Macaca mulatta: one gene and its partners. The protein of the gene in region 1 interacts with the protein of each later gene in a biochemical or structural test. Links are inferred from orthologs where the notes say so. Each region holds a gene or a part of one and is shown in the gene's direction. Other genes may lie near its edges. The genes, in order: DLG1, FRMPD4 and MAPK12.

What was found.
Region 2: the proteins of DLG1 (region 1) and FRMPD4 interact in a test that uses a peptide from one of them, tested with the Homo sapiens proteins (2 studies listed by IntAct, with this or other methods). The link is inferred for Macaca mulatta from reciprocal best matches to the Homo sapiens genes DLG1 and FRMPD4.
Region 3: the proteins of DLG1 (region 1) and MAPK12 interact in a test that uses a peptide from one of them, tested with the Homo sapiens proteins (2 studies listed by IntAct, with this or other methods). The link is inferred for Macaca mulatta from reciprocal best matches to the Homo sapiens genes DLG1 and MAPK12.

What each region holds. Positions count from the first base shown.
Region 1 is NC_133407.1:2,594,423-2,605,008, reverse strand, and holds the end of DLG1 (disks large homolog 1), read left to right. Parts: intron 1-5,589; coding exon 5,590-5,696; 3' UTR 5,697-6,447; downstream 6,448-10,586. UniProt on the Homo sapiens protein: Essential multidomain scaffolding protein required for normal development. Recruits channels, receptors and signaling molecules to discrete plasma membrane domains in polarized cells.
Region 2 is NC_133426.1:11,755,555-11,766,240, forward strand, and holds the start of FRMPD4 (FERM and PDZ domain-containing protein 4), read left to right. Parts: upstream 1-4,513; 5' UTR 4,514-5,016; coding exon 5,017-5,057; intron 5,058-10,686. UniProt on the Homo sapiens protein: Positive regulator of dendritic spine morphogenesis and density. Required for the maintenance of excitatory synaptic transmission. Binds phosphatidylinositol 4,5-bisphosphate.
Region 3 is NC_133415.1:1,186,602-1,197,187, forward strand, and holds the end of MAPK12 (mitogen-activated protein kinase 12), read left to right. Parts: 5' UTR 1-153; coding exon 154-278; intron 279-357; coding exon 358-487; intron 488-3,557; coding exon 3,558-3,616; intron 3,617-4,953; coding exon 4,954-5,065; intron 5,066-5,183; coding exon 5,184-5,282; intron 5,283-5,521; coding exon 5,522-5,569; intron 5,570-6,048; coding exon 6,049-6,163; intron 6,164-6,367; coding exon 6,368-6,439; intron 6,440-6,775; coding exon 6,776-6,855; intron 6,856-6,938; coding exon 6,939-7,017; intron 7,018-7,099; coding exon 7,100-7,273; intron 7,274-9,003; coding exon 9,004-9,083; 3' UTR 9,084-9,581; downstream 9,582-10,586. UniProt on the Homo sapiens protein: Serine/threonine kinase which acts as an essential component of the MAP kinase signal transduction pathway.

The sequences.
Region 1 (10,586 bases):
CGTGAGCCACCGGGCCTGGCTCATTCATCTTTTGAGAGACTCTTAGGTTATTTTCCTATCTTGGCTATTGTTGATTATGTTGCAGTGGACATAGGACTGCAGATTTCTCTTCAACATACCCATTTCTTTTCCTTTGGGTTTGTTGTTGTTGGCTTTTTGTTTGTTTGTTTTTATTGTTTTGTTTTGAGACAGTCTCGCTCTGTTGCCCAGGCTGGAATGCAGTGGTGTGATCTCGGCTCACTGCAACTGTCGCGTCCTGGGTTCAGCTGATTCTCCTGCCTTAGCCTCCCAAGTAGTGGGGACTAGAGGCACATGCCACCACACCCAGCTAATTTTTGTATTTTTAGTAGAGACAGGGTTGGCCAGGCTGGTCTCAAACTCCTGACCTCAAGTGATCCGCCTGCCTCAGCCTCCCAAAGTGCTGGAATTACAGGCGTGAGCCACCACGCCTGGCCCAATTTCCTTTCCTTTGGATATATATACCCAGTAGTGGGATTGCTAGGTCATATAATAGTTCAGTCTTTAATTTTTTGAGGTGACCGGGCACGGTGGCTCATGCCTGTAATCCCAGCATTTTGGGAGGTCAAGGTGGGCGGATCACCTGAGGTTGGGAGTCCGAGACCAGCCTGACCAACATGGAGAAACCCCCATCTCTACTAAAAATACAAAATTAGCCAGGTGTGGTGGTGCATGCTTGTAATGCCAACTACTTGGCAGGCTGGGGCAGGAGAATTGCTTGAACCCAGGAGGCGGAGGTTGCGGTGAGCCGAGATCACGCCATTTTACTCCAACCTAGGCAACAAGAGCGAAACTCCGTCTCAAAAAAAAAAATTTTTTTTCGAGAAATGTCCACACTGTTTTCTATGATGGCTTTACTCATTTACATTCTATGATGGCTTTACTCATTTACATTCTATGATGGCTTTACTCATTTACATTCCACCAACAGTGTATGGGGTTCCCTTTTCTCCATGCCATTGCCTACTTGTTATCTCTTATCTTTTTGATAACAGCCATCCAACCAGGTCTAAGGGGATATTTCATTATGGGGTGTGTGTGTGTGTGTGTGTGTGTGTGTGTGTGTGTGTGTGTGTGTGTGTGTGTGTGTGTGTGTGTGTGTGTGTGTGTGTGTGTGTCTTGCTGTGTGTGTGTGTGTGTGTGTGTGTGTGTGTGTGTGTGTCAGTCTTGCTGTGTCACCCAGGCTGTGGTGTGTGTGTGTGTGTCAGTCTTGCTGTGTCACCCAGGCTGTGGTGTGTGCGTGTGTGTGTGTGTGTGTGTGTCAGTCTTGCTGTGTCACCCAGGCTGTGGTGTGTGTGTGTGTGTGTGTGTGTGTGTGTGTCAGTCTTGCTGTGTCACCCAGGCTGTGGTGTGTGTGTGTGTGTGTGTGTGTCAGTCTTGCTGTGTCACCCAGGCTGTGGCATGATCTCAGCTCACTGCAACCTCTGCCTCCTGGGTTCAAGTGATTCTCGTGCCTCAGCCTCCTGAATAGCTGGGATTACAGGCACGCACCACCACACTCGGCTAATTTTTGTGTTTTTAGTAGAGACAGGGTTTTGCCATGTTGGCCAGCCTGGTCTCAAACTCCTGGCCTCAAGTATCCACCCACCTCAGCCTCCCAAAGTGTTAGGATGGCAGGCGTGAGCCGCTGCGCCCGGCCTCATGATTTTGATTTCTATTCCTCTGATGACTAAAGAGGTTGAGCACTTTTACTGATACCTGTTGGCCATCTGTATGTCTTCTTTGGATAAATATCTATTCCAGTCCTTTGCCCGTTTTTAAAATGGATTGTTTGGTATTTTGCTAATGAGTTTCTTATATATTTTGGATATTAACCCCTTATCAACTGCATGGTTTAGAAATATTTTCTCCTCTTCCATAGGTTGCCTTTTCATTTTGTTGATTGTTCCTTTGCTGTGTAGATTTTTTATTTGATGTCCCACTTGATGATTTTTTTATTTTGCTGCTTGTACTTTCCAAAAATCATCCAAGACCAGTGTCAAGGAGCTTTTTTCCCTGTTTTCTTCTAGGAGTTTTATGGTTTCTGGTTTTACATTTAAGTATTTAATCTATTTCAAGTTAATTTTGTGTAAGATAAGGGTTTAATTTCATTCTCTTGCATGTGGATATCCAGATTTTCCAACACCATGTATTTAAAACACTAGCCTTTCCCCATTGTGTGTTCTTGGCCCCTTGTCAAAGATTAGTTGCCCTTTGATCCGTTTTGAAATACTATTTGTTTAAAAAAAAAAAAAGAGTAGGTAGCAATTCCCCAATATTCTTTTCTTACTCAGTTTGTCCTTTAACTGACTCCTCAAGTCTTTGGACATTTTTGTTGTTGTTACTTGTTTGTTTGAAATAATATCAGCCTAAATTTGACATTCACAGTGAGTATCAGTAAGGGTCATGGTTTTTGTAAGCCTTGTGCTTTCTTATTTTTTTCAAACTAATTTCAGACTTAAATAGAAGTTAGAAGAATAGTACAGGGAGTCTCATGTACCCTTCACCCAAATTCCTCAAGTGTTAACATTTTACCACATTTATAATTTTTTCTGAAGCACTTGAGGGTAAGTTTCAGGTAGATGCCCCTTTACTTCCAAATATTTCAGTGTGTATTTTCCAAAAAACAGGGATATGCCCTTATATAATCATAGTTTTATTACCAAAATCAGGAAATTTAATAATTATGTCTCATCTAACTATAGATCTTATTATTATTTCACTATTCTTCTAATCTCTTTAGAGCAAAATGGGAACAAAATGGTTTTTCTGTTCCAGTGCAAGATGCAGTTCAGGCTCACGTGTTCCAGTGAATTACACATCTTTAACGTTCTTTAATCTGAAATAGTTCCCAAGTCTTGTCACTCATGACCTTGACTGACATTTTTTAAGAGTAAAAACTAGGGGGGTTTTTTGTTGTTTTTTCTGTTTCGTTTGTTTTGTTTTGTTTTTTGAGCCAGGGTCTCACTCTGTCGCCCAGGCTGGAGTGCAGTGGTGCAATCTCAGTTCACCGGAGCCTCCACCTCCCAGGCTCAAGTGATCCTCCTACCTCCGCCTCCCAAGGAGCTGGGACTACAGGCTGCAGCCAACATGCCCGGCTAATTTTTGTATTTTTTGTAGAGACAGGATTCCGCCATGTTGCCCAGGCTGGTCTGTAACTCCTCTGATCCGCCCACCTTCACCTTGGCCTCCCGCAGTGGTGGGATTACAGGCGTGAGCCACCGCACCTGGCCCAGGCTGGTCTGTGACTCCTCTGATCCGCCCACCTTCACCTTGGCCTCCCGTGGTGGTGGGATTACAGGCGTGAGCCACTGCACCTGGCCCAGGCTGGTCTGTAACTCCTCTGATCCGCCCACCTTCACCTTGGCCTCCCACAGTGGTGGATTACAGGCGTGAGCCACTGCACGTGGCCCAGGCTGGTCTGTAACTCCTCTGATCCGCCCACCTTCACCTTGGCCTCCCACAGTGGTGGATTACAGGCGTGAGCCACTGCACCTGGCCCAGGCTGGTCTGTAACTCCTCTGATCCGCCCACCTTCACCTTGGCCTCCCACAGTGGTGGATTACAGGCGTGAGCCACTGCACCTGGCCCAGGCTGGTCTGTAACTCCTCTGATCCGCCCACCTTCACCTTGGCCTCCCACAGTGGTGGATTACAGGCGTGAGCCACTGCACCTGGCCCAGGCTGGTCTGTAACTCCTCTGATCCGCCCACCTTCACCTTGGCCTCCCGCAGTGGTGGATTACAGGCGTGAGCCACCGCACCTGGCCAGAGACCCACTCTTTTATAAAATGTCCTCCCTCAATTTGGATTTATCTGACGTTTTCTCATAATTAGATTTAGGTTGTGCATTTGGGGCAGGAATAGCAGTGAAGTAATGATGTATCCTCTGTGTGTCATACAAGGAGGTTTACGGTCTGCTTGTGCCGTTGCTTGTTATGCTAATTTTAATCACATGGTTAAGGTGTCTGCAGCCTTATGCTCTCCCAGTTTCTTCCCAAGGAGTATCCTGGTTTACTAACCATGCCATTCATGAATTTACAAAGTAAGCAAAATATATATTTCCCAAGTCAATTCCTGACTCTTTTCTCCTAAAATAAATCCTTGCGTGCTGTTGTCAACCTAAACTATGAAATGCTCTGGGATTCTGTCCTGTGCTGTTGGAGTGCATCAAGATGCCAAACCCACAAACCAAGTATTTTGTCAATTGAACTGAGTCTTCAGGGACACTGAGGCATGTCTGTATTTAGTTCAAAAGGTAGAAGTCTCACAAAACTGATACTAGCGAATATTATGTTACTTAAAATTCTTGTTTACTCAGGCATTCCTAGCTACGTATAAGCCCTTCTTACCTATATATAACTTCTTTCTTCTATGCACATAATCTCGGGTACCAAATAGACAGTATTATTTAAAACCTCCCTTCGACATTTTATGCTCAGTTTTTCAGACCATGGAAATCTACACCTATGATGCTCTTCCAAGATCACTGGGGATTTTTTTGTAGTTTAATAAGTGACTTATTTAATTTGCAATTCTGAATTATTTCATTTATATGTAAACTTCTTTTGTGAGAAACAGGGTTTCACTTTGTCACCCAGGCAAATGGTACGATCCAATGGTACGATCATAGCTCACTGCAGATGTGAACTCTGGGCTCGAGAAATCGTCCTGCTCCCTCAGCCTCCCGCGTAGCCAGGACCACAGGCACACACCACCATGCCCGGCTCATTTTTTTTTTTTTTTTTTTTTTTTGGACACAGTGTCTCACTATGTTCCCCAGGCTGATCTCAAACTCCTAGCCTCAAGCAACCCTCCACTTCAGCCTCCCAAAGTGCTGGGATTGCAGGCATGAGCCACCATGCCCAGCCATAAACATTTTCTTTCCTCTTAAAAAGTGACTCATGCTTAGTGCTGTCTAGCGATACTTTGTTTTTGTTTGTTTGCTTGCTTGCTTTGTTAACTGACCCTCATCCCTCACAGACCTCAGGGGCTTCAGCTATTTCCAAAGAATTACTTATTAGTAATTGTTACTCTTTTTTTCACACATTATTTCAGGCAGCAAATAAACATTGATTGTTAAGTCTCTAAACACTAACAAGCTGGCTGAGGTAATTCACCTACTCTACAGTAACTGACGTGCCAGCTTAACTGAAACAAGTAGCATCAATCTGTAGCCAGCTCTTTTCTGCCACGATCCTACCCCAAAAAAATAAAACAAAACATTATCCTGCATCATCCTGTCTGTGGGATTGTAGCCAGTTTCCTTTGTCCTACATGGTGATGGAGAAATCAGGACAGTTAAGAAAATAATTTGTTTTAAAATAATAAAGCTAATATATGCTCAGATGGTAAAAGAACAAAAGATCACCAAATCTTACTTTTTGATCCATTTTTAAGATAAAAATTGTATACTGTACAGGTAGGAAAATTAATGAAGTGAGCCGTTTTTTCTAAGTGAACAGTGCGTAAATGGTGATTCTTCCTGGATGAGTAACTTTCTCAAAGATATTCGTTTCTGCTATTTCACCAATAATTGTAATGACAAAATAGACAATTAATGGAGATTTCTGATTTTGTTTCTATCGTTACAGCTATTGTACAGGGAGATACGCTGGAAGACATTTACAACCAAGTGAAACAGATCATAGAAGAACAGTCTGGTTCTTACATCTGGGTTCCAGCAAAAGAAAAGTTATGAAAACTCATGTTTCTCTATTTCTCTTTTCCACAATTCCATTTTCTTTGACATCTCTTTGCCCTTTCCTCTGGAGTCTTTTTTCAATAATGATTTCATGTTGAATTATATCCCACATCATGGTCTGCAGGTGCGCTTATTTTTTTACATGTAGTGTCTCCTTCAAGTTACATCATGTGTATTATTTAATGTCACTATTGGTTAGTGGCCATTTTTCACAACTGAAGATGGAATGGCCTGACCAGCTATTAAGAATTTGGGGAGACGCAGAAATTGTGGTAAAATTCCTTAATGTTTAAGGGAAAGTAACTTTAAGAGATTTTTGGAAAAGCTTTATATACATTCTTTTCAAATTTCAGTACAAATGAAAAAGTGGTTTTAATCAGTGATTTAGTAGACTTTGAGCAACTATGCACGCTTAAGTTTAATAGCATGGTTTGGCCAGTGTGTTACTCTCAAGTCCTGTTCTCAGTCAGCTTCTATCATCAAAGCAATTGTTTCATTATAGATAAATAAGGAAGACATGTTTTAATTTAAAAATTCATGTCTGAGTTAACTTTCATAAGGGATTTCATTTTTCCTAAGCATTCTTAAAGTCTTTTATTATTTGAAGGTTCTTTTTTCCCAGTACATTTGCTAGGAATAACAACGTTTTAATGTTTTTAATCTACTTGAGCAACACTATCGTGTCTTACAAAAGTTGTTCATATGTAAATGATCATCACATTCTGTGAATCGAGGCCATGTTCAGGTGCTAAGGAAGTTCGCCTTTTACACAGAAGGTTGAGAAAATTTCCTAGATATAAATACAGATAAATCAGACATTACAGTGGTGATGTAGAAACCATAATGGCAATGGAAAGGAGTCCAGTTCATAGCCTAAAACTTAAAAATGTATTCTTAGGAGTCAGATTTTACTGAATATTTTACCCACAATAGCTGCCTATTTTGTTATAATAAAATATATATAAATATATATATAAAACTTTCTTTAAACTCTGTAACTATGGGAATTATTTTCTTTACATAGTTGCGCACACACACAAACATATATATATATATATTTAAAATATATTTTGTTTCTTTTGCCACCTACTCCTAACTTTTTGTTTGGTTTTTAAATTAAATATTAATTGAATAGACTTACCTTCCTTAATCCTGTGAACTGAAAATGGGGGCATGGTGATCATGAGGAGAAACATTTAGGGAAATTAGATTATAAGTAAAAGTATGGGCGTATTCTCCTCTTTTCTACAAAAGTTTTCAAATGGTTCCTGGGGTTTTGTTGTTGTTCTTCTTGTTGTTATTGTTGTTCTTGTCATCAGGTTTGATTCTGGTCCTTGCCCTTTCCTTCTAGTTCTCCTTTTATTAATAGGAAGGCAGGCAAAAGCCCCATTTATGTGTGTTTCCCCTCAGACAGCTTCATCCACTGCTCTGCACTAGAATTACACAAATCTTCATGGTGAGCAATTTTAAGAAATTTTAGTGAAAGGTAGAAATTATTTCAGAAATCAGTTTCTCTGGTCCTTTATATTAATAATAATATTTGGCTTCCCATTGCTCTTTGGAGTTGTTTATTAAATATGTGTTTTTGACAACCTCCTCATTACAGTTTCTTAAAGAAATGAGTACTGGTTTGTAAAGAATTATCAACATTATCCATTCCATTTATGAAGAAGAGGAGAACAGCTAATAAACTGTATTGTAAAATCCATATGTTAAATGTGTCTTGAATTTTGAAAGAAAAAAATATTTTGCAAGCTAACATTTTCTTGAAACAATTTGAGGCATCATGTAATTTATAACTGAATTCAAGAGCCATTAGGCAACAGAGTATGTTAACACATTGAAATACACACAGTATTGCTGTTACACTAAATATTGTAGGTTGTTAACAAAATAGAAATATACTAGAAGAAAACTATTGTAAAATCTCAAGAGCTTCAGAAATTGCCTTACAAGACCCCAGCATAAGCTGTTTTGAAGTATTTACCAAATAGTCACATGTTGTAAAATATCAAGTGGGTTATAAAAGGATGCCATTTATGTATTAAAATCTACACAACATTGTTTTCTGGATGTCCTTGTTAAGTGATTTTTTTGTAAGAATATATGATTGTGCAGCTTTCTAGCTTGTACAGGATTATCAATAATGAGATTACTAATTGCTGAGTATTATGCAATAGCCACTTTAGTATCACTTTAGTATCTTGTTTTTTGTTTTTGTTTTGTTTTGTTTTTGTGGGGTTTTTTTTTGTTTGTTTTTTTTGTTTTGAGACGAAGTCTTGCTCTGTCACCCAAGCTGGAGTGCACTGGCTTGATCTTGGCTCACTGCAACCTCTGGCACCCGAGTTTAAGCGATTCTCCTGCCTCAGCCTCCGAACTAGCTGGGATTACAGGCGCCCACCACCACACCCGGCTAATTTTTGTATATTTAGTAGAGACGGGGTTTCAGCATCTTGATCAGGCTGGTCTTGAACTCCTGACCTTGTGATCCACCCCCTCGGCCTCCCAAAGTGCTTACAGGCATGAGCCACTGCACCCGGCCCATACCTCTTAATTAAAAAAAAAAAAAGAGAAGGTGGTGTTACTCGCCCCACTATAAGGTTTACATTAAATCACTTGCCCAAGATGACTTAGCTAGTAAGTGGCAGTGCTTAGTATTTGGATCCAAGCCTCTCTGCCCCAAGTCTACATTCTTTCCAATACACTTGGCTGCCTCATTTTTCGCCCCGTACTGTGTAAAGAACTGTAACTTAAATTATTAGTTTAGCAGTCCTTTACAAATAAGGAAAGACTCTTAGATGAAAATCCTTGCCCAAAGTCATACAAGTAGTAAGGACAGACCCATAGAACAAGTCACTCCCGTCAAAGCTGAAAAGACTGTTTGTGGGAAACAGGTCAGCCTCCCCCTGCCACGGTGACATGCCAAGAAATAATCCTTTAAAACCAGAATTGAAACAATGTTTGTAAGAAAAGAGTCCATTATTGTAATGCACAGAGAATAATACAGTTTCAAATGTTTTGAAAGGCTGTCTTTGTTAACATGCCTCTTCATATCCTTAAGTTGGCAAAAGGAAAAGTGCCTCTTGGACTTGGCTGTCGCTGTCTGGTTGCTCTCCTGTTCTGTGACTACCTGGGGCTCTTCAATAAATAATGGAAGCAAGCAGGCCGGGCGCGGCGGCTCACGCCTGTAATCCCAGCACTTTGGGAGGCCGAGGCAGACGTGTCACCTGAGGTCGGGAGTTCGAGACCAGCCTGACCAACATGGAGAAACCCTGTCTCTACTAAAAATAAAAAATTAGCCAGGCGTGGTAACGCATGCCTGTAATTCCAGCTACTCGGGAGGCTGAGGCCGGAGAATCGCTTGAACCCGGGAGGCAGAGGTTGCAGTGAGCCGAGATCGCACCATTGCATTCCAGCCTGGGCAACGAGAGAAACTCCATCTCAAAAACAAATAATAATAATGGAAGCAAGCCTGCAGAGCTCATTCCAGCAAAATACACTCTGGTTAACAAATACTTGCTAAACACTATGGTATTTAAACTCCAAAGATGGCAATTAAGGAATTTTAGTAATTAGTAAAAATTGTTTTCTAACGTATTAGAGCAGTTACCTTCTAAGATTCTCTGCCTTGAATACTCTTAATTTACATGTGATAAAATAGAAGCCTAAAGATCCCTATGTCTTAACAAAGTTACACTGCAAATCAGGGACAGAGCCAGAATTAGAACTTTTAACTCCTGACTCCTAGAAAATAGTTTTCCTACCATACAAATTCCTTTTCCTCCCATTCTAAGAGCTGGATTTTGTGGTTTATTCAATCCCTGAAGGTTTGAATTTCTGCTGTTAAATGTTGGTACATTTATGATATTACAGTGAAGAAGTTGCGTTTTAAAGGTATCAAGGAAAAACACAGGTGTCACTTTCCCGACCCTAGTGTAGAGCATTTGATAGTTAAGTCTAATATTTAAGATTCCATTTGTCTCCCTCCAGAATTGCACAGTATACCTCTCGCTGACTTTGGCAGCAGTGCCCTCTGATGTGAAGAATGTGGGCTGTGGAATCAGCTTGATTTGAATGCCACTCTGCCACTTATGTAACTTTGGGCAAGTCACATAATCCCTCTTACTGTTTACTTATCTGTAAAATGGAGATCTATTGAGGATCAGTAAGATTACAGATAAAGGGAACTAGCACATAGAACACTCTAAAAGCTAATTCCCTTTTCCTTTGGAATCAGAGGCTTAGAATTCTTCCAGCTTCTCTTGTGGAGATTAACCTGACCCTTAATTTTGCCGTGTTTTAAATGGGATTTGAATGACTACCTTGCAGGATTGTTATAAGGGCTAAAGTGATGTATACAAAACACAGTTGGCCGGGCGCGGTGGCTCAGGCCTGTAATCCCAGCACTTTGGGAGGCCGAGGTGGGTGGATCACGAGGTCAGGAGATCGAGACCAACCTGGCTAACACGGTGAAACCCCGTCTGTACTAAAAATATGAAAAGAAAATTAGCCGGGCATGGTGGCAGGCGCCTGTAGTACCAGCTACTCAGGAGGCTGAGGCAAGAGAATGGCGTGAACACGGGAGGCGGAGCTTGCAATGAGCCCAGATCGCGCCACTGCACTCCAGCCTGGGCGACAGAGCAAGACTCCATCTCAAAAAAAAAAAAAAAGTATATATATCATCCGATACTTCACACTTCTGTTCTTCCCCATACGAAGGGTTGTGGTTATGGTGGGTGGCAGACCCACAACATTAGTTGTGGAGAGTCTCAAAACAGGCCTGAAATAATAGTGTGAAAAGTATTACTTAAATCACCCGGATAAAATATTTTGTCTTTAATTTGACTAGAAATAGTCACTACTTAACGAACTTTCCAGCACTGGCCC
Region 2 (10,686 bases), on another chromosome or scaffold:
CTCACTTCATTTAATGCATTACTCTTCAGTCACACTGGCTGCCTTCTGATTCTTCAAACATACAATCATTGTTCCTGCCTCAAGGACTACATCCTTGTTTTATCCTTGCCGTTCCTTTTGCATGGAATACTCTCCCATATGAATTTTGTGTGGCAGCCTCTATAGCCTCCATGAGATTCTTCATATCTGTTTAAATGTTACCTCCTTATAGAAGTCTTCCTGAACCACTGAATAACAAATAGCCACCTAGCCACTCCCTTTCTATCAGAAGAATTTTAATTCTCTGCACATTGCTATCTGCTATTTTCTTGTTGACTGCAATTTCTGATTTTGTTGTTTATCATCTACCTCCTCTTTATAAGTTCTATGAGAGCAGAAACTTGCCTCGTTGCCTAGTCTACTTCCCAGTGCCTACAATGGTGCCTGGTACATGGGAAACACTCCATAAATATTTGCTGATTGAATGAATACCTTGCTGTTATTTATTTACTTCTGTTTTCAGGACTGAGACCAGATGGTCGAGATGCTACAGTCCAGCTGAGACATGCTTGGGGCTCTCTCTACTGTAATTTGCAGCAAAAGAACCCTCAGCTGCCAACCTATATGGAACATCTGGCCCAATAGCAGATTCCTAACACCAGCTTTAGATAAGGCCTTAACAATGATGAAGAAGTTCCTCACACTTCCCCCTGATAATCCCCTGGGGCATAAAAGATATTACAGCTTAGGGCTTTAGTAACTGCCCAGGCAACAAAGTGTTTGATTTTTAGGCAAAAGCGCCCACCTCTGATTAATCCAAGCAAATGTTGGGCCTCCTAAATAGTCATTTTATAGGCTGAAACTTTTCCTACCAGTACTGCCAAGGCTGCAGACAGCTGTAGAAATCCTTCTAGAGCTAACATTCATGTGCCTCAACTCATATGTAGCCAACTGTAAACTGGTGCCAACTTCAAGTGCTCATTTTGTGTAAGGTAAAGATGTATTATTTCCATTTTACAGCTGAGGAAACTGAGTCTCAGAGAAGTTATAGGACTTGCTCTGGATCTGGTGAGCCTGAATCTTTTGTTCATGAGTACTTTCAACAGTGTTTGAAAGTGTCTGGTTTTCAGAAATGACCAAAGGTCACTTGAACCTAAGTGAAGCAAATTAAGTAGATTAAGTTTCCAACTAGTAAACCCCTACAAGATCTAGAAGGGGCCTTAGAGATTATCCAGGTTAATATGAAAACTTCAGAAAACCACATATGTACTCAGGATCCCACTTTTTTGGCTTTTATTTGTTTTAGGCAGATCTAGTTCATGCTAGGCAAACCTATCCTAACCTCTGCAGCACACACCTGGCACAGAGAGGGGACAGAGCTGAGAGACCAACTACTCCAATCTCCGTCCTTCTGCCAAGATGGCTTAAAGATATAAACACTCTGTGTTAGCATGTTTCAAGGGAGCAGCTTTTTCCATTGCTATATTAATGAGAAACAAAGGAGGAGGGGTGGAATCTCTTTGTTTTAGAAAACAATATCAATCCATTAGAAAACATACTAGATAATTACTATATGAGAGATGTGTAAAGACCTGGAGAAGTCAGTCATTTCCCTTGGTAGCTATTATGCTGTGGAGAGATGGCATCTGCACCATTCATAACTGTAGTGTACAAATTGGCACAGGGAGAAGGCCAACAGCAAGCTGTTCCAGGTAGACCAGATGTCTCGAAGGGAGGCTGTCTCTCTAGAAGTAAACACAATGTCTATTTCCTGTCACTTTCACTGTTGAATAATTAGCTATTTGGTATCTGGAATAATTATTGATAAATAGGGTAATCCTTTTAAAAAGAGCATCCCAACTGTTCTGTTCTCAGAAGGAAGAACTTTTTCAAAACACATTCTCCAAAGGCACTGTTTTTATCTCCTTTTCCCAATCATGAGCTGGTTTTGTGCTGCCAGATGTTGACTCGGAGATGAGGGAACGTGTCAGTTGCCACTCTCTTGGGGGAAAGGTAGAAAAGGTGAAGGGGGAAAATAACTGGAGAATCTAAGAAGGCCTTTGTTGCCATCATTAACAGTCAGTCCAAAGGAGGTTGAAGGATGCTGGGGAAGTAGATGGGTGGGGAGAGAGACAGACGTAAGCCATGAAGTCATACAGAGATCAGTACTCACTGGGGATGCTTGGCCAGCTTTGGTTGGGCTGTGAATCCAATGGGCATACGATTTGTTCATTCGACAAATATTTCTTAAGTTCCTTCTACATCTGGGGAAGTGGTCTAGGCATTTGGGATCCATCAGTGAAAAACAAAAACAAAACAAAAATCCCAGCCCTTGTGGAGCTCCAGTGGGAGATTCAGACCAAAAACAAAAAAAACAAAAAAAAAAAAAAAAAAAAAGGAAAGAAATCCTAAAGATAAAAATAAATTATATAGTGTGCTAGTGGGTGATAAGTGCTATGGAAACAAGAAAAAAGAATAAAACAGTTAATAGGCACTTGGAGTCCAGGATGTGAGAGCCTTTTGCAATTTTAAATAGGCTTTTTAGAGGGGGATTTTTGGAAGTGGTATTGGTGCATAGATTTGACAGGGTGGAGAAGTCAGCCATGCAGATATTCCTGGAAAGAGCATTACAGGCCGAGGGAACAACCATTGCAAAGATCCTAAAGTGGGAAGATTACCTGTAGAGTTTGAAGAACAGCAAGGAGGCCAAAATTTCTGGAGCCCAGTGAGTGTATGTGTGTGTGTGAGGGAGGGGGGCCTTGGGGTGGGGGATGAGGAGGGACGGGGGAAAAAGGGGAGAGGGAAGTGGGCAGTAATAGTTGAGGTAAGAAAGATCAAAGGATAAGGGATGTAGGGTCTTATTGGTCCTAGCAGGAGTGCAACTTCAGCTTGACGAGAATGCAGAGCTTTTGCATAGTTTACATCAGACAAGTAACATTATGTGATCTACGTTAAAAAACACACAGACACACACACACATTTTTGTCTGGTATGTTGAGAATAGATTATGGCATAAAAATAAAAGATTTCTCTTCTAAACGTATTGCCTTACTTATATGACAGGGTTGCTATGAGACTCTAATGCAAAAAAAATGCTTTAAAAATTATAAAGCATAGTGCAGATCCAAACTATAATTATTTTACAAACAACAGAGTTCAAAAGCCAAGGTCCCTCCCACCTCTTCTGATCCTTGAGTAGTAACTGCGTTCATGCAATTAAACTAGCCTATTTAAAAGAAGCTGCAGGAAAATTGATAAGTATGTATTCAAAAAAATATAATTTTATGCCTGAGTTTTAAGTCAGTTAGATTTTGCAGATTGCTATTTATTTTATGTTCAGTTTTTGAAATAAATGCTTAAAAAAAAACGCGTTAGTACTAGGCTTGAATACTGAAGACTTTAAATATAACAACAGACCAGGAGAGGAGCAGAAGTGTGGGAACTTTAAACCCATTTCTTACTTAATCCCCTCGGAGAGCTAGACTGGAACACTGGCTGGATCTTCCAACATTTCTGGGGGTGCTCTCTGTTCTTTGCAGTGGCCCTGCCGCCAGGTGAACGCTGCTGGTGGGAGAGCACACACTTAGTGCGGCCAGCTGACCTTCACAGTCTGGGGGGAAATTTTAAAGGATTGTGGACAAGAGGCCTTGAGACTCCAAGAGGAAGAAGAAAAAGGGGCCCAATGAAGCCTGAGCTTCCCAGGAGGTAGAACTGAGTTAATGAACAGGGCTGATTATCCAAGGTAATCATGTAAAAGAGAAGGCTAGGAGGAGTTCTAGATGGCTGCAACTTGGAGTTTACTCTGCCTAAGGTGAGTGTTTATGTTTCTGTGTTTTTGCTTCTCAGGCAAGGTTTTGTTAGGTTTTGTTTTGTTTTTTTTTTTTCTTCCTTGTTCCCTTCTCCCACCGCTCAGTTTGCAAAAGCAGCTCGCTCTGCGTGCCAGACCCCATTCTAATCCTTCTCTTCCCTTAGATTCCGAGCCCGGTTAGAATTAGCCTCTGCATCACAGGCTCCTGGGACCTTCTGCTCTATGCTCCTGGAGGAGGGAGCAGCTGTGTTCATCCCCCTACCCGCAAATGCCTCCGGTTCTTATTTGGCCGACACTCCCGCGGTGCTGCTGTCCAAAGACACACCTTCCCAGCCAGCCCAGTGGTCACGTCTCGCCCCAGCGGTTCGGGAGAAGCAGTGGGAACTCTGCGCTCCCCCAATCGAGCCCGCTGCGCCGGGCATCTCCCTTCCCTTCCCCTTGACAAACGACCCAGCCTCTATCATCCCTGCTCCTTCCGATCGCTAGTTTTGTTTACGGAGCAAACCGAGGCTTTGGGCAACCTGCGGTTGCACGGTTCTCCTTCGGCTTGGGGAGGGAGGGTTAGCGTTCACAGTTCTCCAGTGTGCCATAGACTGTTAGACCAGATCCTTCAGATCTGGAGGCACACGCAGTGGGTGACAGGAGAGTGCCCCCTCCCCCTGGGCTGGTGGGGGTGGGGAGAGGAGCAGGGACTCGGCTTGGAGAAGGAGGCAGGGAGGCAGCTGCAGTGCTGCGAGGGGTGCGTGCGCGTGTGCCCAGCTCGCCTGCTGTCTCCCGTTTCCCGGCTCCGTCTGCGCTCCTTGGTGCGCGGGGCACTGGGGTCCGAGGGCCGGGAAGCCAGAGCAGCGCCTCTCGCCCGGGCCTCGCTTTCTCTAGACGCCCGGCAGTACCCGGGGCCAGAGCGCACGGGGCGGGGCGCGAGACCCGGGCCGCGCTCCCAGCCCCCGCCTCTTGCGCCCTGCCTGGCTCCCTCTCCATTGAGTTTTCCTGCCGCGGGTGCTCATCAATGGTCCTGCTCGGGGATGCACACGCAGCTCGCGGCCGGAGGGTGGTAGCAGCCGCCGCCTCCAGGTGCAGGTTCTCTCCGGCCCCCGCCGCCACCCGCTGTCGCCGCGACTGGAGCCCTGGGCGCACTGAGGTCTTGGCCATGGGGCTGCGGAGGCTGCTGTTGTTGCTGGCGTGAGAAGGGGCGACGGAGTTGTCGCGCTCGGGGGTCCCCAGCTGCCTGCATGGATGTCTTCAGCTTTGTGAAGATTGCAAAGCTTTCGAGGTAGGGGCTGCGCGGGTTCCGTTTGCACCTAGGGCCGCTGCTGCGGGCAACTTGGTGCCTTATTTTTCGGGAGGCTGGGTAGAGGCAAAAGCCGGAAAGCGCGACGGGGCTTAAGACTGAAACGAAGTGGCCGGGGGCTGACACATTCAACTTATTTCTCACTGGCTGCTGAGGCTTGTGTAGCCACGGGTGTAGACCACACACAGAGAGGTACATACATGCCCTCACCAACACACCGATATTCACAACCATTTGTTTTCCCTAAGGAAAAGCCCCACTGGTGCTTGGGGTCCCATGTATCATTCAGGGCTAAGAGAAGGTGGTTGTAATTGCTACTGCTAGGGAAACCCAGAAGTGCTTGGAGCTTAGGTGCCTGCCTTCCAAGCTGCAGAGACCAAAAGTGCCGCCTTCCCCCCACTCCTAAATTACACCTCCACACCTCCACAGAGTTAGCGCCTAGGTTGACCAGGTGCTCCCAATGGTAACCTAAATGATGAGGTCATGGAGATAGAAGAGAAAGACTTTCAGCCTTTTTCTTTGTGTGTGTGTGTGACTATATTCTTAAGCCTCGAAAGATTTAGAAATTTTCTTCTAAGTGGCCATGTTGTTAAAACAGTAGCTAAAACTAAATCATCGATTCGGATATTTTTGCGTAGTACTGATAAAGGAGGAACATTTCCACGCTTGGGCCGCCTAGGTGTTGCCTGGCCAGAGCACTCCTCGAGGTCTTCTGCCTGCTTATGCTTCCAAAGTGTTCATTTGAGCCACAGAGTAAGGTCTGTGCTTCTTGCTATGTGACATTAACTGGGAAGAGCCCGATAGGAGCAGTCTTAGAAAACCATGCCCAACCTTCTCTGCCCCTGGAGCTCTTTATAGCAGCTACCACCAGGACGTAGGAGGTAGACAGTTGGGTTTTTCCAGGATGTAGCTTAAAAACTTACTTGCAATATGGACAGAACAATCCCAGGTTTTCCTTCAGTCCTGAGTGTCAGAGTGAGATGTGTTGATTGCATCAGGCAGGGATGAGCAGCTTCCAATCGTCCGAGGTAGAAACGTATGTTGACTTTGCTTTGTTAAATTACATTTAGACCACTTCAGAAAGGTTATGTTTGGATGTTGCCATTCTCTCTGACATCTACAGTCTTTGTTCTGCCTGCCCATCTCCACCTTCCCTTTCTACTAATATGGGCCGGTCTTCATGCCACTAGCAGATTTCCCCAGGGAGAAAGGCCCAGTGCAACTTACTCTAAGTAGACTGGAGATACACCGTTGATAGGTCTTAGAGCAGCTCAGGAAGAGGTGTTGTCCTACAGATTGGAAGACTGATGTGTTAAGCAGTGGATGATTGTGGTGTGGCAAATTATTTGCTTTCAAGCTGATCTCATAGAGGGCCATTGCTTCACACCACTATTCTATTAACTTCCTGCATGCTTCTGCCTAGGGCTAGTTTCTAAACAGCTGTCAAATAATGAACCATGGTTGGGAAGCAGCTGTGGGCAAGTTTAGAGACTGAGTGGAACCCTCTGTGTGATGGACAGAGCTACTGCTAAAGGGAAAGGGAAGTTCAACCAATAGTATAGTTCAAAGTAACCAGGATACTTTTTTGTGGCCTCAGATGCTAAAAACAGTTTAACAAAACATCTAGAGCCTTGGTTTAGTCCTTAAACTTAGGAACTTCGGAGAGCACAGTGTCATGTGTCAGTGAAAAGATGTTTCATATTCTTTTTACTAAATTCTAGGATGCCTACATGATATTCACAAATCTGAGTTTTTGCAAAACTCAAGCAAGGTTGTGGGGAGAGTGGTATCTTATTTAAAAGAGTTTAAAATTTAGTAAATGAATGTGAGTTTCACTTTCTATCCTTAATGTGATCCAGTAGAGTGTTTATTCTAAAGACAGAAGGTGCAAATGTTCTGAGCTGATGTGCCGATTAAGAAATCTTCCATCCATATAATTCTTCTTTTTCCTTAGTGTGAGCTCAAGGATGGTCCCCAAGCTGAGATAGAAATACCTTTAGAGGGTCATCAGCACGTAAAAACACATGTTTGCAGTTGCTTGTTTCTGCCTTGGGAGGAAGAAAGTCTTGTATGCGTTTTAAACACTGTTACAGAAATCAAGTTCTTTTCTCAAAGGTGAAGTATAAAAGTGCTTATACTGCAGGATTTTCCTGATTTCAGAATGGATAATCTTCCTAAAGGATTTAGCTTTGATCAGCATGGTTACTTGAGTGCTTAAAATTCTCTTGGTTTAGAGGCAAACACATGTAGTTACCCTGGGTCCTGGCCTTGCCTTTGGTTCCTACAAACTCGAGTTTCTAAATGTTAATTCAGAAGGCATATCTTGGAAGTGATATTTGCTTAGTGTCCTATCTGTGAGTACAGACAGTGTAATTACAGAGAATTCCAAGAGAATATTAATCGACACTGGAATAAATAAATTGCATATTTTGACTTTTTAGAGTGTCTACATTTAACTATTTGTTTCCAGACTCTATGCCCTTTTAATCGTGGGAAAAATCAGAATTCACATTGCCCCTCAATAACCCATTACCATTAAAACAAATTGCTGCCAAGTGTTAGAATTCCTGGCAAGTAGTTGGGACCCTTTACATCATCAGTAAGAGTTATGACCCTTGATTGCATCCTTCGTGGGTGGCACAGTGTGTCATGGTTCTATCTGAAGATGGTTTTTTCCGTTCTTCTAATTTTCTGGTTCTTAAACTGCTTGATAGTTTACATGCAGTTTTACTTCACTGTTTCCTTGGTAACAGTTCTATATCATTTTCCATCCTTGTAGATGAGAGCATTACAGATGATTGCTTTATAAACCAGTAATAGTATAAAAACAGGCATATATTTTTATTGTTACTGCTCTTTGCATTGACTATTTTATTTGTAAAGCAGATGCACTCTTTCAAATGTTTATAGAAGAATGCAGCCCAGTAGAAAAACATATGATTATGCCCCTTTTGCCTGAGGGAGATGATTTGAGATCCAAAACTCATAGGGATGTTATTAAATTGAGTGATATGTTCATAGATAGAGTCCCTGATTTGACTTCTTTTCTTTAAGCAAAATGGTAGACTTGATGATAATGGTTGAGTCCCCACTGTTGATATGATGATTTCTTACAGTAGTAGGTAAATTTGGGGGATGCTTTATTTTGCATTTTCTTGTAGTTGCATGGGTTATTTTGTGGTATATAGCAGTGACTAATATCTGTCATAGTAAAGAATACTAATTTTCTTACAAGTATCTTATATTTGAGGAAACATATAAAATACATATGTATAGTTTCCTTAGATTTTTATGTCAAATCCATTTAGATACTACTAAACTTCTGTCTTTTACCTTTATCTTATTCAGAATTAAATATTTTCTAGGGAAAAGGGGAAGTTAAAGAAGTAGTGCAAAAGGTCAGGGTTTTCCCGTATCTGCTATTTTTACTGAGTAATTGTATTAATATTGCTGATAATAGTGAGCTCTGGAGGCTAGCAATGAAAAACCCCCAAAGACTCTGGATTTGAATTTTATTAAAAATGCTACTTGCTCATCTTCTGAGTCCTTTCTAAGTTCTGCTGATTTTTGTGGCTGTCAGGAGGTGAAACAATGAACAGTTTCGTAACAGAACTAGATTCCTGTTTTAGGAATATTTAACTCTAGTTTCCCAAGGGTTGCTAGTTTGAAGCTGTGAAAGTCTAGTCGCTCACAGTTCTGGGAAGAAGGCGTCTAGGTCAGGCTTTGTTCCATTCCAAGCATATCTCTCTCTCTCTCTCTCTCTCTCTCTCTCTCTCTCTCTCTCTCTCTCTCTCTCATTGTCTGGGGCAAGCAAGTTTTACCTTCTTGCTATCAGAACTTGGTACAGACTGACAGCTGCAGTGAAACTTACTTGTACTTTAAATGCATGACCTGGAAAGTCTCACTTTCTGCTTATGGTCCTTCCAGCTGTTCATTCTCTCCCTTTACATACACATACACTGTTCAACTTTAGTCTTTTTTATTTCATTTGAGGTTAACCATGGAAGTTTAGCTGTAAGAGAATGTACATTATTGGTGAACTAGAAATGTATCTTTAAGGAATGAACTTGAAACCACTGGTTTCACACTTGGCTCAGTAAGAAAACTCAAGACCGTTTAAAACCTTTGTTGAAGCATACCATCCTGAAATCTACCACCATTACCATCAAATGATCTTGAATCTTGAAAGCTAATCATAGCAGGAAAAGAACATCATGAATAGGCTAAAACAGAGGTTGGCACATTGTGGCCTATGAGCCAAATCTGGCTTGCTGACTGTTATGGCATAGCCTGTGAGCAAAATATAGTTTCTTTATTTTCAAATGGTTCAAAAATATCAAAAAAAGAATAATATGAAATTAAAATTTCAGTGTCCATAAATAAAGTTTTATTGGAACACGTGTCCATTCATGTAGGTATTATCTATGGCTGCATTTGCCTGACAACAGCAAAGTTGAATAGATGCCACAGAGACCTTATGGCCCACAAAGCCTAAAATGTTTACTCTCTGGCTCTTTACAGAAAAAGTTAACTGACCCCTGCCTGGGTTAAACAATGCCTTTTCCTGTTTTCTCTTCTTTATCGTTATCAGCACACATGTGGGCACACGCATGTCAAATTGAGTATATTATAATAAATACTTGAATTCACTAATGCACATTACCAATTAATATAGACCTTATCTTTATTGAAACTTCTGATCTCAAATTACTTCTTGAACTATTGGAAACTGACCGTTAGAAGTGGACATAATTGTTCTACTAATTTGTTGCACTTGGAAAAAGTATGCATGCTTATTCTTTGGTCACTAAGTTGACATGATATTTTTGGGGAGCTGGAGAGTTGCTTGTTAGGGTGATGTTTGCCTTCCATAAACATCCAGTTCAAAATGGATGGAAAAAGAATGGGTGATACTACTTGTATAGCCTCAACCAATGTGTGCTGATGAACTGATAATCAAGTCAACGGGAGAATGCCTAGTATTTCCTTACAGTACACTTGAGCCATCTGGTCCTAATGGCTAATGACCTTCACTAATCTGTTTCCAAATGGAAATAAAACTAGATAAGTGGATTTAGTTGTAGTCAGAGGAATGGAGGTAGGCTGTATCAATTTGGAGTTGAGTTTAATCTAACTTTCCTATAATTTGACTGAGAGCATTGTAATGAAAAACCATAGACTACCTCTAGTTCTTTACAGCAAAAGCATATATCAAAAGTATGCTGCCTTGCTTCTGAGTAATTTAGGTCATTATGTACTTAAGCTCTGAAAATTATCTTGAAGAAATCTAAGCCTTAGTTTTAGATAACAAAGTTAACATTCCCATTTTTTTTTTCCTGGCAAAGAGATGAGAAGGGTTTTCTGCCAGAACTGTTCTTTCAGAAGTATATTTTCAAGTATGGTTTACAGAATTTGGCATAAGATAAATAGTCTATACTAAATAATTAGTGAGCGAAGTCATATACAATTCATTCAACATTTGTTGCAAACAAATTGTCATATTTATTTAGCTGAACAATTACTGTGTCAGTACTTCTTTATTGAATATAAAGGAATACAATGCACATGTTAAAAGTAAATAGCCTGCTCTTGGACTTGGTCTCAGAGAATA
Region 3 (10,586 bases), on another chromosome or scaffold:
GAAGGGCCGGGAACAGGAGCGTCCCAGCGGCGGGCGGGCGAGCAGCGCGGAGTCGGCCCGGGGCGCACGCCGAGGAAGCCCCGCCGATCCCAGGTCCCCGGTCCTGGGGCACCGCCCGCGGGCTCTGCGGGGTGGGCGGCTCCCGGGCCTGCCATGAGCTCTCCGCCGCCTGCCCGCAGTGGCTTTTACCGCCAGGAGGTGACTAAGACGGCCTGGGAGGTGCGCGCCGTGTACCGGGACCTGCAGCCCGTGGGCTCGGGCGCCTATGGCGCGGTGTGGTGAGCGCGGGGCGGCCGGCGGGGCGGGCGGGGCCTGCGCGGGGTGCCCGGCCTTCCCGCTAAGCGGTCCGCCCCGCAGCTCGGCCGTGGACAGCCGCACCGGCGCTAAGGTGGCCATCAAGAAGCTGTACCGGCCCTTCCAGTCGGAGCTGTTCGCCAAGCGCGCCTACCGCGAGCTGCGCCTGCTCAAGCACATGCGCCACGAGAACGTGAGTCGCGCGACCCCGCTCCGGGAAGGCGCCCCGGCCTCGGCTGGGTTCGGCTGGGCTGGGTCCCTCCACCCGGCAACCCCTTCCCCAGGCAACCTGCTGTGGGGCGGGGCGGGGGTCGGGCCGTGGGCCCCCAGGGGAGAAGGAGAGCAAGGAGACGACTCCCCCAAGGGCCATTCCCCCTCCTCTGCCAGGCCCGGGAAAGAGCCCCTTGACTTGGCGTCTCAGCCAGGCCCTGGTCAGGGGACACGACTTGGCCAGGCCCAGGGGATCCTCCAGGTCTCACGCCAAACCCTGCCCCCAGCCAGGAAGCCCGCGGTGAGAGGATGCTCCCGGCAGGAGGATTTTCCTGGAAGGGGCACCTTCTCTTTCCCATCCGGGCCCCTCTCCAGCCCCTCTGTGGAGCCCACTTTGTTGCTGTCCATCTCCCGAGTCTTCCGACCCGGTGGAGGGGGAGGAGGGGGGCGCCAGAACGTAGGGAGTATGGTGAACCCTGGGGGTGAGTGAAGGGTTCAGGGAGCTGCTGTTTGGGGGGCACTGGGCGTGGTGGTCATCTCACAGACACCCTCCCTTTCGTTGTGGGGGCCCATCCTTTCCAGTCCTGCCTGTGAGATGCCATGCACAGCTGCCCTGGGCCTCTCCCACGGAGTGGCTGGCTGCGAAGAGCCGGACTTCTCTGCCAGGGGCCCTCTGGTTTCTGGACACAGTCCCACTTGTCCACTGCCCCCCATGTCACTCCTGCCCTGCCCCTGGTCTGGGCCCAGCCTGAAGGCAGGTGGCCTGGGCGCCCGGACCCTAGCTCCAGTGTGAGATGCTCTGGACCCTCCTGGGTCATCCGAGCCACCGGTGCCCTGGGAGAATGAGTCCCTGCGTCCACCAGCAAACCACCCGCCCCCTGGTTCCTGGCCACCGCCACTCTCTCAGCCCCTTGGGTGGGTCCTTTTCTCTGAGGCTTCCCATAGCCCACCCTGACCCCAGCTCACCACCCCGGGCCCTGTGAAATCTGTTTGCGGTGGACACCAACCTTGCCCCCACCTCGACACCCCCGTCACACCCGGCCCTGCCCCCACCTTGCCACCACTGCACTCCCCCATCCCGCCCGTCACACCGAGACCTTGCCCCAGGACTGTAGCCTTCCCCTCGGCCCCCTGCCCCCACCCACCCACTCACTCACCTGCTTGGGCCTTGCCCCATCCAGCCAAGTGCTCTGGGGCTTTTCTTTCTTCTTTTTTTTTTTCTTTTGAGATGGAGTTTCGCTCTTGTTGCCCAGGCTGGAGTGCAATGGCATGATCTCGGCTCACCACAACCTTTGCCTCCTGGGTTCAAGTGATTCTCCTGCCTCAGCCTCCTGAGTAGCTGGGATTACAGGTCCATGCCACCATGCCTGGCTAATGCTTTGTATTTTTAGTAGAGACGGTGTTTCATTATTTTGGGCAGACTGGTCTCAAACCCCTGACCTCGAGTGATCCGCCTGCCTCGGCCTCCCAAAGTGCTGAGATTACAGGCCTGAACCACCGCGCCCGTCCACTGGGGCTTCTCTTTTTTGAGATGGGGTCTCCCTCTGTCGCCCAGGCTGGAGTGCAATGGCGCGATCTGTGACCTCCACCTCCTGGGTTCACACAATTCTCCTGCCTCAGCCTCTCTAGTAGCTGTGACTCTAGGCACCCACCACCACACCCGGCTAACTTTTTGTATTTTTAGTAGAGACAGAGTTTCACTATGTTGGCCAGGCTGGTCTTGAACTCCTGACCTCGTGATCCGCCTGCCTTCGCCTCCCAAATTGCTGGGAGTGCAGCCGTGACCCACCGCGCTGGGCTTTTCTTTAGCCACCGCCCTGCTGTCCTGGGGTCCCCGCTGTGCCTGGGGGTCCACCCCCTGGGCTCCCGGCCTGCAGCTGAGGCTCCTTCCCTGGAACCCCATCTTCCTGGAAGACTGAAGCTCTGTGAGGCCACATGCCTTGCTCAGCGGGGGAGGAGGCTCTGCCACAGGCCCCAGTCCTGCCATCCCCATGCCACCTCCCTCTCCAGGCCAGCCCCCACACCACAGAGGCCAAGCCAAGTCCTATGGCCCCTAGCCCACAGGACCCTGCTTTCCATCTTCTGCCAAAGCGCTCTCCTGGGCACCCTCCAGCTGTCGTGTCCACAGACCCCACTGTTCCCAGGCCTCCCTGGACGGGCCTCTGTTCCTTCTCCTCCTCCCTCCACATTCTTGCCCATGGCTCTGGCAGAGCTGTCCTTCCAGTTTAGGTCCATTCTTGCTTCACTCTGGCCAGTCCCTACACCACGGCCAGCAGGACGCGTTTAGCATCACACCCATTTAAATCCTTCCCTGTCTCTTGGGATCAAAGCCAAACTTTCACCTGGTGTGTGCTGCCCTGCCGGCTCCCTCTGGCCTCTCCTCAGCCCCTCCCTGGCCTGGGCCTTGGCCACCTGGCCTCCCTCCCTGTGTTCCTCAAACTCTCCCAAGTGTTCTCCCTCTTGCCTTGGCCACTCTGCATGTGCCCTCTGCCGGGTGTCCCGCAGCCCACATGTCTACCTGCCCCTCCATCCTTGGCTGTGCAGAACTTCTCCGGGCCTCCCTGGGACCCTGTCACCCCAAAATGCTGAGGCAGCAGTTATCACATGACCTGTCCACTGTCCATCTCCCCAACCAGGGGTGCTGTGGGGACCAGGTCTGGCGGGTCATGGTGCTGTCCACCTGGGCCTCACCAGCAGAGGCCTGGCCTCTCCTCATAGCACTATCCCTTCCCTGGGTGTCAGTCTGCTTGGTTGGGGAGAAGAGGGGAGAAAGGGGCAAGTGGTAGGAGCCCTTTGGATGGTTCAGAGCCAGCCCAGACTCCGGGTTGCCCTTCCCCCAGAAGATCCCGGCTGTCACCATCCAAAAATAACCTGTCTGTGGGTATGTGTGCCAGGGCTGGGCCACGCTGCCAGTGGGCAGAGCCAGGCCCTTTGGACAGTGGGGCATGACGACAGCTGCAGAGGGGGTTTCCTGCCCAGAGGGCTGTGCCACTCTTGGGGGGGGCCCCAGCCCGTGTCCTCCGCTGCACTCTCAACCCTACCTGGCCCCCCAGGTGATTGGGCTGCTGGATGTGTTCACTCCTGATGAGACCCTGGATGACTTCACAGACTTGTGAGTGCCGACCTGGGCTGGCTGCTGGGCACAAGGGGTGGTGGGCAGCTCTGGGCACTGGCTTCAGGTTCCAGGTTGGCATGGGGTTCTCTTCCTGTAGCCTGAGTGGGGGATGCACACTGCCAACCCCCCCCATACTACTCTGCCCCACACCCTCCCCCACATGGTCCTGGGACCCACAGCTGGGCAGAGCTGGGGCTGCTGCCTCCCTTCACGCCTGGCACCTGGGCTCTCCGGCACCGGAGGTGTGAACCTTGGACCTGACCATTAGTTAACAGGAAGGTCCCGTGCTCGGGACCCTGGCACCAAGTGTGTGGCCGGTAACTGGAGCTGCTGACCTTTCCCAGCAGGTGGGGGAGAAGCGGTAGGGAGGACCCACCCTGCCCTTGCCCTGCAGCCGACCACCCCGGGACTCACACCTTGTCGGCCAAGAGTGAAGGGCCAGGCTGAGGAAGGCCTGGAGAGGGTAGCAGATGTCTCCCGCCTGACTTGCAGAGGTCAAGGACCCACGCTGGCCTCAGTGGCCTCTGGGGAGGTGCTAAATACCATTCTCCTGTGTCCGTCTCCACCGGCTCAGCCAGCCCCTCTGACCCAGATGCCTTGCCTTGCCCCCATCGCCCCCAGGCACCTCCCTCATCTCTGGCACAAAGTTCCGAGGTTGAATCCTGACTGCCTCCCTCCCCTGCCTGTGAAGACTCGAGCCCTGCAGCCTCAGCCCCAGCCTGGCACGCAGGGCGCTTTAGCAGAGGGTTCAAAAACCCCAAAGGGAGGCCGGGGCGGTGGCTCAAGCCTGTAATCCCAGCACTTTGGGAGGCCGAGACGGGCGGATCACGAGGTCAGGAGATCGAGACCATCCTGGCTAACACGGTGAAACCCCGTCTCTACTAAAAAATACAAAAAACTAGCCAGGCGAGGTGGTGGGCGCCTGTAGTCCCAGGCTGAGGCTGAGGCAGGAGAATGGCATGAACTCGGGAGGCGGAGCTTGCAGTGAGCTGAGATCCAGCCACTGCACTCCAGCCTGGGGGACAGAGCTAGACTCCATCTCAAAAAAAGCAAAAACAAAAACCCCAAAGGGCAGCCTCCTGCCTGTCTGACAGTCCTCAGAGTGGGAGGGAGGTGTGAGCGTTGCTGGCAGTGACAGTTGGGGCAGGATGGAGCCTGGCACTGCAAGGTGGGGTTGTGAGGATGCCGAGGCTAGTGGAGACGGGTGCTGCAGGGTAACCTTCCCGGGGCCACCTGCTGGATCCCGGATGGGTCTGAGCCTGGGCCTGCTGGGTAGGCCTCTGGGATGCAGAGGCTGGCTCTGCCCACTGATGGTGCTCCGGCCCCTCCCACAGTTACCTGGTGATGCCATTCATGGGCACCGACCTGGGCAAGCTCATGAAACATGAGAAGCTGGGCGAGGACCGGATCCAGTTCCTCGTGTACCAGATGCTGAAGGGGCTGAGGGTATGGCCCCAGGGGAGGCTGCAGGGAGGCAGGCAGGGCCTCGGGGCTGGGCAGAGGAGGGCCCTGTGGCTCTGAGGCCCTGGTACGCTGAAACCTGCCGAATCTTCTGTCCCCGCAGTATATCCATGCTGCCGGCATCATCCACAGAGTGAGTCCTGGTGGAGGAGCCACCCATCAGCCCTCCCCCAGCGCAATCCCCCGCCTCCACGTCCTACCTGTGAGGGTCTGACAGGGTCTGGGGGGGCTGACGGGGTCTGGGGGTGCTGAGCCACGCCTCAGGCACAGCCCCTGGTGGGAGCCTGCCTGGATGCCCAGGTACCTGGGTCTGTCCTTGAAGGGCTGCAGGGAGCAAGGGGGCCAGGTCTGGTGGCCCCATTTTTAGGTGCCACCCAGGCTCTTGGCTGTGTCCATGCTCGGGAGGGTGGGGCACAGTGGCCACCTTTCCTCTGTCCCCAGGACCTGAAGCCTGGCAACCTGGCTGTGAACGAAGACTGTGAGCTGAAGGTGTGTGCCGCCTGGCAGGGGCCCCTCCGGATCTGCCCACCAATCCACCTGTCAGGCCTGGGCAGGGGGCCAAGGCCCCAGGCTCTGGGCAGTGGCTGAGGAGCTGGTGGGTGGGTGAGCCCCAGGAGGCAGTGGTATGCCACATGCCATACCTGCAGCGGGTGAGGGTGGGAGGCGCCCCCAGGCCCCTGCCTGGTCCAGGACAGGGCTGAGGCTTTGGTGGGCAGCAGGTGACAGCAGGGAGAGGGGAGCCCCAGGGCCCCTGCTCCATCCCAAGGGCAGCTGGGCTCGGTGCACTGGCCAAAGGGAGGAGCTTGCACAGTTTGGGGTCTGAGGGCTTGGCCTCAAGTCCTCAAAGGTTGTCAGGAGGCCCCAGCTTGGGGCTTCGAGTCCAACCCCGCTGGGGTCTCCTGGACCATGGGTGGCCTGTCCGCTCCTTGGGAGTCCCCTAGAACCCACCTCCCCGATTCTTCCCGCAGATCCTGGACTTTGGCCTGGCCAGGCAGGCAGACAGCGAGATGACTGGCTATGTGGTGACCCGGTGGTACCGGGCACCCGAGGTCATCTTGAATTGGATGCGCTACACGCAGACGGGTGAGAAGCTGCCTAGAGATTTGGGCCTCTCGGGCTGCTCCATCTGCTTCTCTACTTCTTCACTGAGAGCCCTGTGGTGGCTGCTCCCCAGGGAGGCTGTTGAGCTGGGGTGGGAGCCGGGTGGGTGGGCTGTGTCTGTGTTTCCTCCCTCCCCATCTCATCCCGTCCCCCTGCCCACGGGGCTGACCATGGCTTTTATCTCAGTGGACATCTGGTCTGTGGGGTGCATCATGGCGGAGATGATCACAGGCAAGACGCTGTTCAAAGGCAGCGACCGTATCCTCCAGCAGCACCAGGGGCGGGTGGGGATGGCTCCTGCCCAGGTGGGGGGTTCTGGGGGGGTGGGGATGGCTCCTGCCCAGGTGGGGGGTTCTGGGGTTGGGGATGGCTCCTGCCCAGGTGGGGGGTTCTGGGGGTTGAGGATGGCTCCTGCCCAGGTGGGGGGTTCTGGGGTTGGGGATGGCTCCTGCCCAGATGGGGGGTTCTGAGGGGGTGGGGATGGCTCCTGCGCAGGTGGGGGGTTCTGGGGGTTGGGGATGGCTCCTGCCCAGGTGGGGGCAGTGAGGGCCCTGATCTCTGGCCCCCCGAGCTGTGCTCCTGACCTCAGTGCAGACCTGGACCAGCTGAAGGAGATCATGAAAGTGACAGGGACGCCTCCAGCTGAGTTTGTGCAGCGGCTGCAGAGTGATGAGGTCAGTGGTGAGTGGGGAGCTGGGTGGGGGTGGGGGCGGACCCGGGCCTCGGTGTTGGCCCCTCACCCTTTCTTTCCACATAGGCCAAGAACTACATGAAGGGCCTCCCTGAGTTGGAGAAGAAGGATTTTGCCTCCATCCTGACCAATGCAAGCCCTCTAGGTAGGGCTGGCTAGTGTGGGGGCCACCAGGTGCTGGAGTGTGGGGCTTCCCGCAGTCTGGCCTGACGCACCTTCCCCCGCAGCTGTGAACCTCCTGGAGAAGATGCTGGTGCTGGATGCGGAGCAGCGGGTGACGGCAGCCGAGGCACTGGCCCATCCCTACTTCGAGTCCCTGCACGACACGGAAGATGAGCCCCAGGTCCAGAAGTATGACGACTCCTTTGATGACGTGGACCGCACGCTGGATGAATGGAAGCGTGAGCTGGGGGCTCCGGGCAGGGCCTGTGTGGACCCGAGTTGGGGGCTCTGGGCAGGGCCTGTGTGGACCTGTGAGTGGGGGGGCTCTGGGCAGGGCCTGTGTGGACCCGTGGGTGGCGGGCTTCGGGCAGGGCCTGTGTGGACCCTGTGGGCCCTGTGCAGGTAGCCAGGCTCCGAGTCCTAAATCCCCGTCCCTGGGATGCAGGTCAGGTGAGGAGAATGGGAGGTCAGAGGGCAGCATGGGGCCGCGTGGCCTGGTGGAAATGACCTCTGGCTGGAGCTGAAAGATGAAAGGAGGGTGTTCCTGGCAGGCTCAGCACAGAGGCTGGCACAGAAGGAGCCGGGAACGGTGAAGGGCAGCTGTGAGTCCGGGCAGCAGGGCCCACTGAGCCCCTCCTGGCCCCAGACCTGCTGCCCTTCCGCCATGTCCAGGCCAGAGACCCGGGCCACCGTGCCACCCTCACCATGTCCATTTGTCCCTAAGGCCTCTCTCCTCACATCTCGTGAATCTGTCCTTGCCTCTCCTTGCCCCAGGTGTTTTTTTTTTTTTTTGAGACAGTCTCGCTCTGTTGCTCAGGCTGGAGTGTGGTGGCATGATCTTGGCTCATTGCAAGCTCCGCCTCCCGGGTTCACGCCATTCTCCTGCCTTAGCCTCCCGAGTAGCTGGGACTACAGGTGCCCGCCACCACGCTCGGCTAACTTTTTGTAATTTTAGTAGAAATAGGGTTTCACCGTGTTAGCCAGGATGGTCTTGATCTCCTGACCCCATGATCCGCCCACCTCGGCCTCTCAAAGTGCTGGGATTATAGGCGTGAGCCACCGCGCCCGGCCCTCTCTTTGGTCCATTTTAGGATCCTTCCCATCTGGACAAGACATGTATGTCTTATATACGCAAGATAGTCCCCAGGGCCTCACCTGTCTCCCCCAGCCCCCCTGAGCAGTCCAGACCCCAACCCTAACTACTAGGGTCCATCATCCCCTATACCAGGGGCTATCCCCTCATCTTGGAGGGCTGGCCAAGGCCTGTGCAGCCTCAGGCTGAACTCAGGGAAGCCTCCCCAGCTCCCACAGCTATGCTGTGGCCTGAGGCTATGCTGGACCTGGCTTCATTTTTGCTCCAGAATGGCAGGCTGTGTCTTCTTCATGGCTGCATGACCAACCTGTGGTGGGGGTGCCCGGGGACAGCAGGTGGACACTGGGAGCAGTGCCGTGTTTCAGGCCCTGTCCTGGCTCTGCCTTGGGCGCAGGGCCTTGGTCCTCCACACTGGCTGGGTGGGGCTGGATGGACTGAGATTCTTCACCTGTGCTCCTTAGGGCCACGGGTCCCTGGGTGCCTGCAGCAGGGCCTCCACCCTTCGCTGTGTGTGCTTAGTTGTGTGCTTATGAGTTTGGCTTTGATTAAAGGTTTCTCCTGCTAAAAAGATAACTTGAAAACCATGGGCCATAGGATCCTCTCTGTAGTCTCCACCCACACAACTGTAGCTGGGGCCTCAGCTCTTAGGACAGACCGTGGTGGACACGTGGCCAAGCCCTGGCCACCTCCCCTTTCCCTGGAAAATCCGGATCTAGAGCAATGGCCTCTTCACACAAACCTTCTCTCAGTAGTTTGGACCACATTAGGATTAGAGAAGGGCCCCACGAGGCACCGCCAGGCGTGTCTGTGAGTGACACCCCAGGATGGAAGGCAAAGGCTGACCCTGGTTTCTGTTGTGCCCCCCGCCCCCGCCAGGTGTTACTTACAAAGAGGTGCTCAGCTTCAAGCCTCCCCGGCAGCTGGGAGCCAGGGTCTCCAAGGAGACGGCTCTGTGAAGATCTCTGAGCTCCAGGGTGGTAGTGAGGACCACCTTCACCTTCCACCTGAGAGGGGACCCTCGTTGCCACCTTGACCTTGGCTGGGGCTTGCATCCCAAGGCATCCGTCGGAGCAGACCCCTGGGTTCCATGGACCCTCCTCCCCATGCCCCTGCCTCTGCTCTCGGGTGCCCATCCTGGAGGAGCACCTGAACTTTCTGGACAGGACCTCTGGCCGACCTGGGGATGGCCTCTGATGCCTGGAGCCGGGGCCCCCTTGCCCGGTGCCCTCAGAAACCTCGGAGCTGGTGGGGCTCCAGGTCAGGCCCTGGCCTCTGAGCCCTGCCTGCTCTGGGCCATGCGGAGGAAGAACAGAGGGTGGGCGCAGGGCACCAACTCAGGGACATCCCTTCTCCTGGGCGACGTCACTGGACCTTCCTGCACCCCTGCCTGGAATGTAAATCAGCTGTGTGGCGCCCACGTGGCTGGAATGAAATAGACCCTTTTGTAGCTCCCTGCTCTGGCTGTGCGTCCTCATGCTGCGACCTGTCTTAAGGCCTCCAAGCCCTTGGCCTGCATGTAGAGGAGGCTGGCCTGATAGCTCAGACCCTCAGAGCCAGCTGGGGGGCCTGAGCATCCCATCTCTCCCAGGCCACAAAGCTGGTGCCCACTTCCCCAGACCTGTGCCAGTGAGCTTCGAACCCCCACATTAGGGCTTGGCCCCCTCCCCTTTTACAGGGTGACCTTCTGCTAATGGCTTAGAGTCTAAGCCACTGTGTGTGGATCCTGAAGCCAGACCCAGGGGCAGGGCCTGATGGGGAGAAATGTTAGGATCTACCCTAGCTCTCTGCACCCTCCAAGGCCAGCAGGTCCCTGGGGGGAGGGGGCACACTGAACACCTTGAGACCCCTCTGGCCCCTGTGGTGGAGTGGTGAGCACAGAGGGCTGGGTTTTGTTTTTGATCAAACCTCTAGTCCCTACCTACTACCGTGTTCCAGTGGTATCTTCATGCCCAGGCCGCCCTCTGCAGGCCACTCGGTGTTTCCAAGGGTGGCGGCTGGACCACAGGCCACAGGCACCTCCAAACCTGTCCCAGGGCAGGGGGTTACAATAGAGAGACCAGTGAGGGCAGGGCAGGCCAGGCGTCCTCCTCGGTGGACACTTCCACAGCTGGCCCAGCCAAATTGGACTTGATGAGCTGCCACGACAGATGCCTTCTCTGCCAGCGACCCTCATGCCTCTCCAGGGCATCCGGGCATGGGGGACGTGATCCCCATCGGCTCGGGAGCCGCGCTGACTTGTGTCATGGCTGCTGTCCACACGGGGCCCAGCTTCCTGCCATAGGTGGCCTGAGGACTGGGGGCCCCAAAACTGACCCAACTAAACGTGAGCTCCGGCGGGGACAGGGTGGCCCCTGGGCTCCAGGGGGGCTCCGGTCTCCTCTTGGGGCACCTTGCTCCGTGGCTGTGCCCGCGCCTCCTGCCTTCCTCACTTCCTCTGTTCCCCGCCACGCTACCGCAAC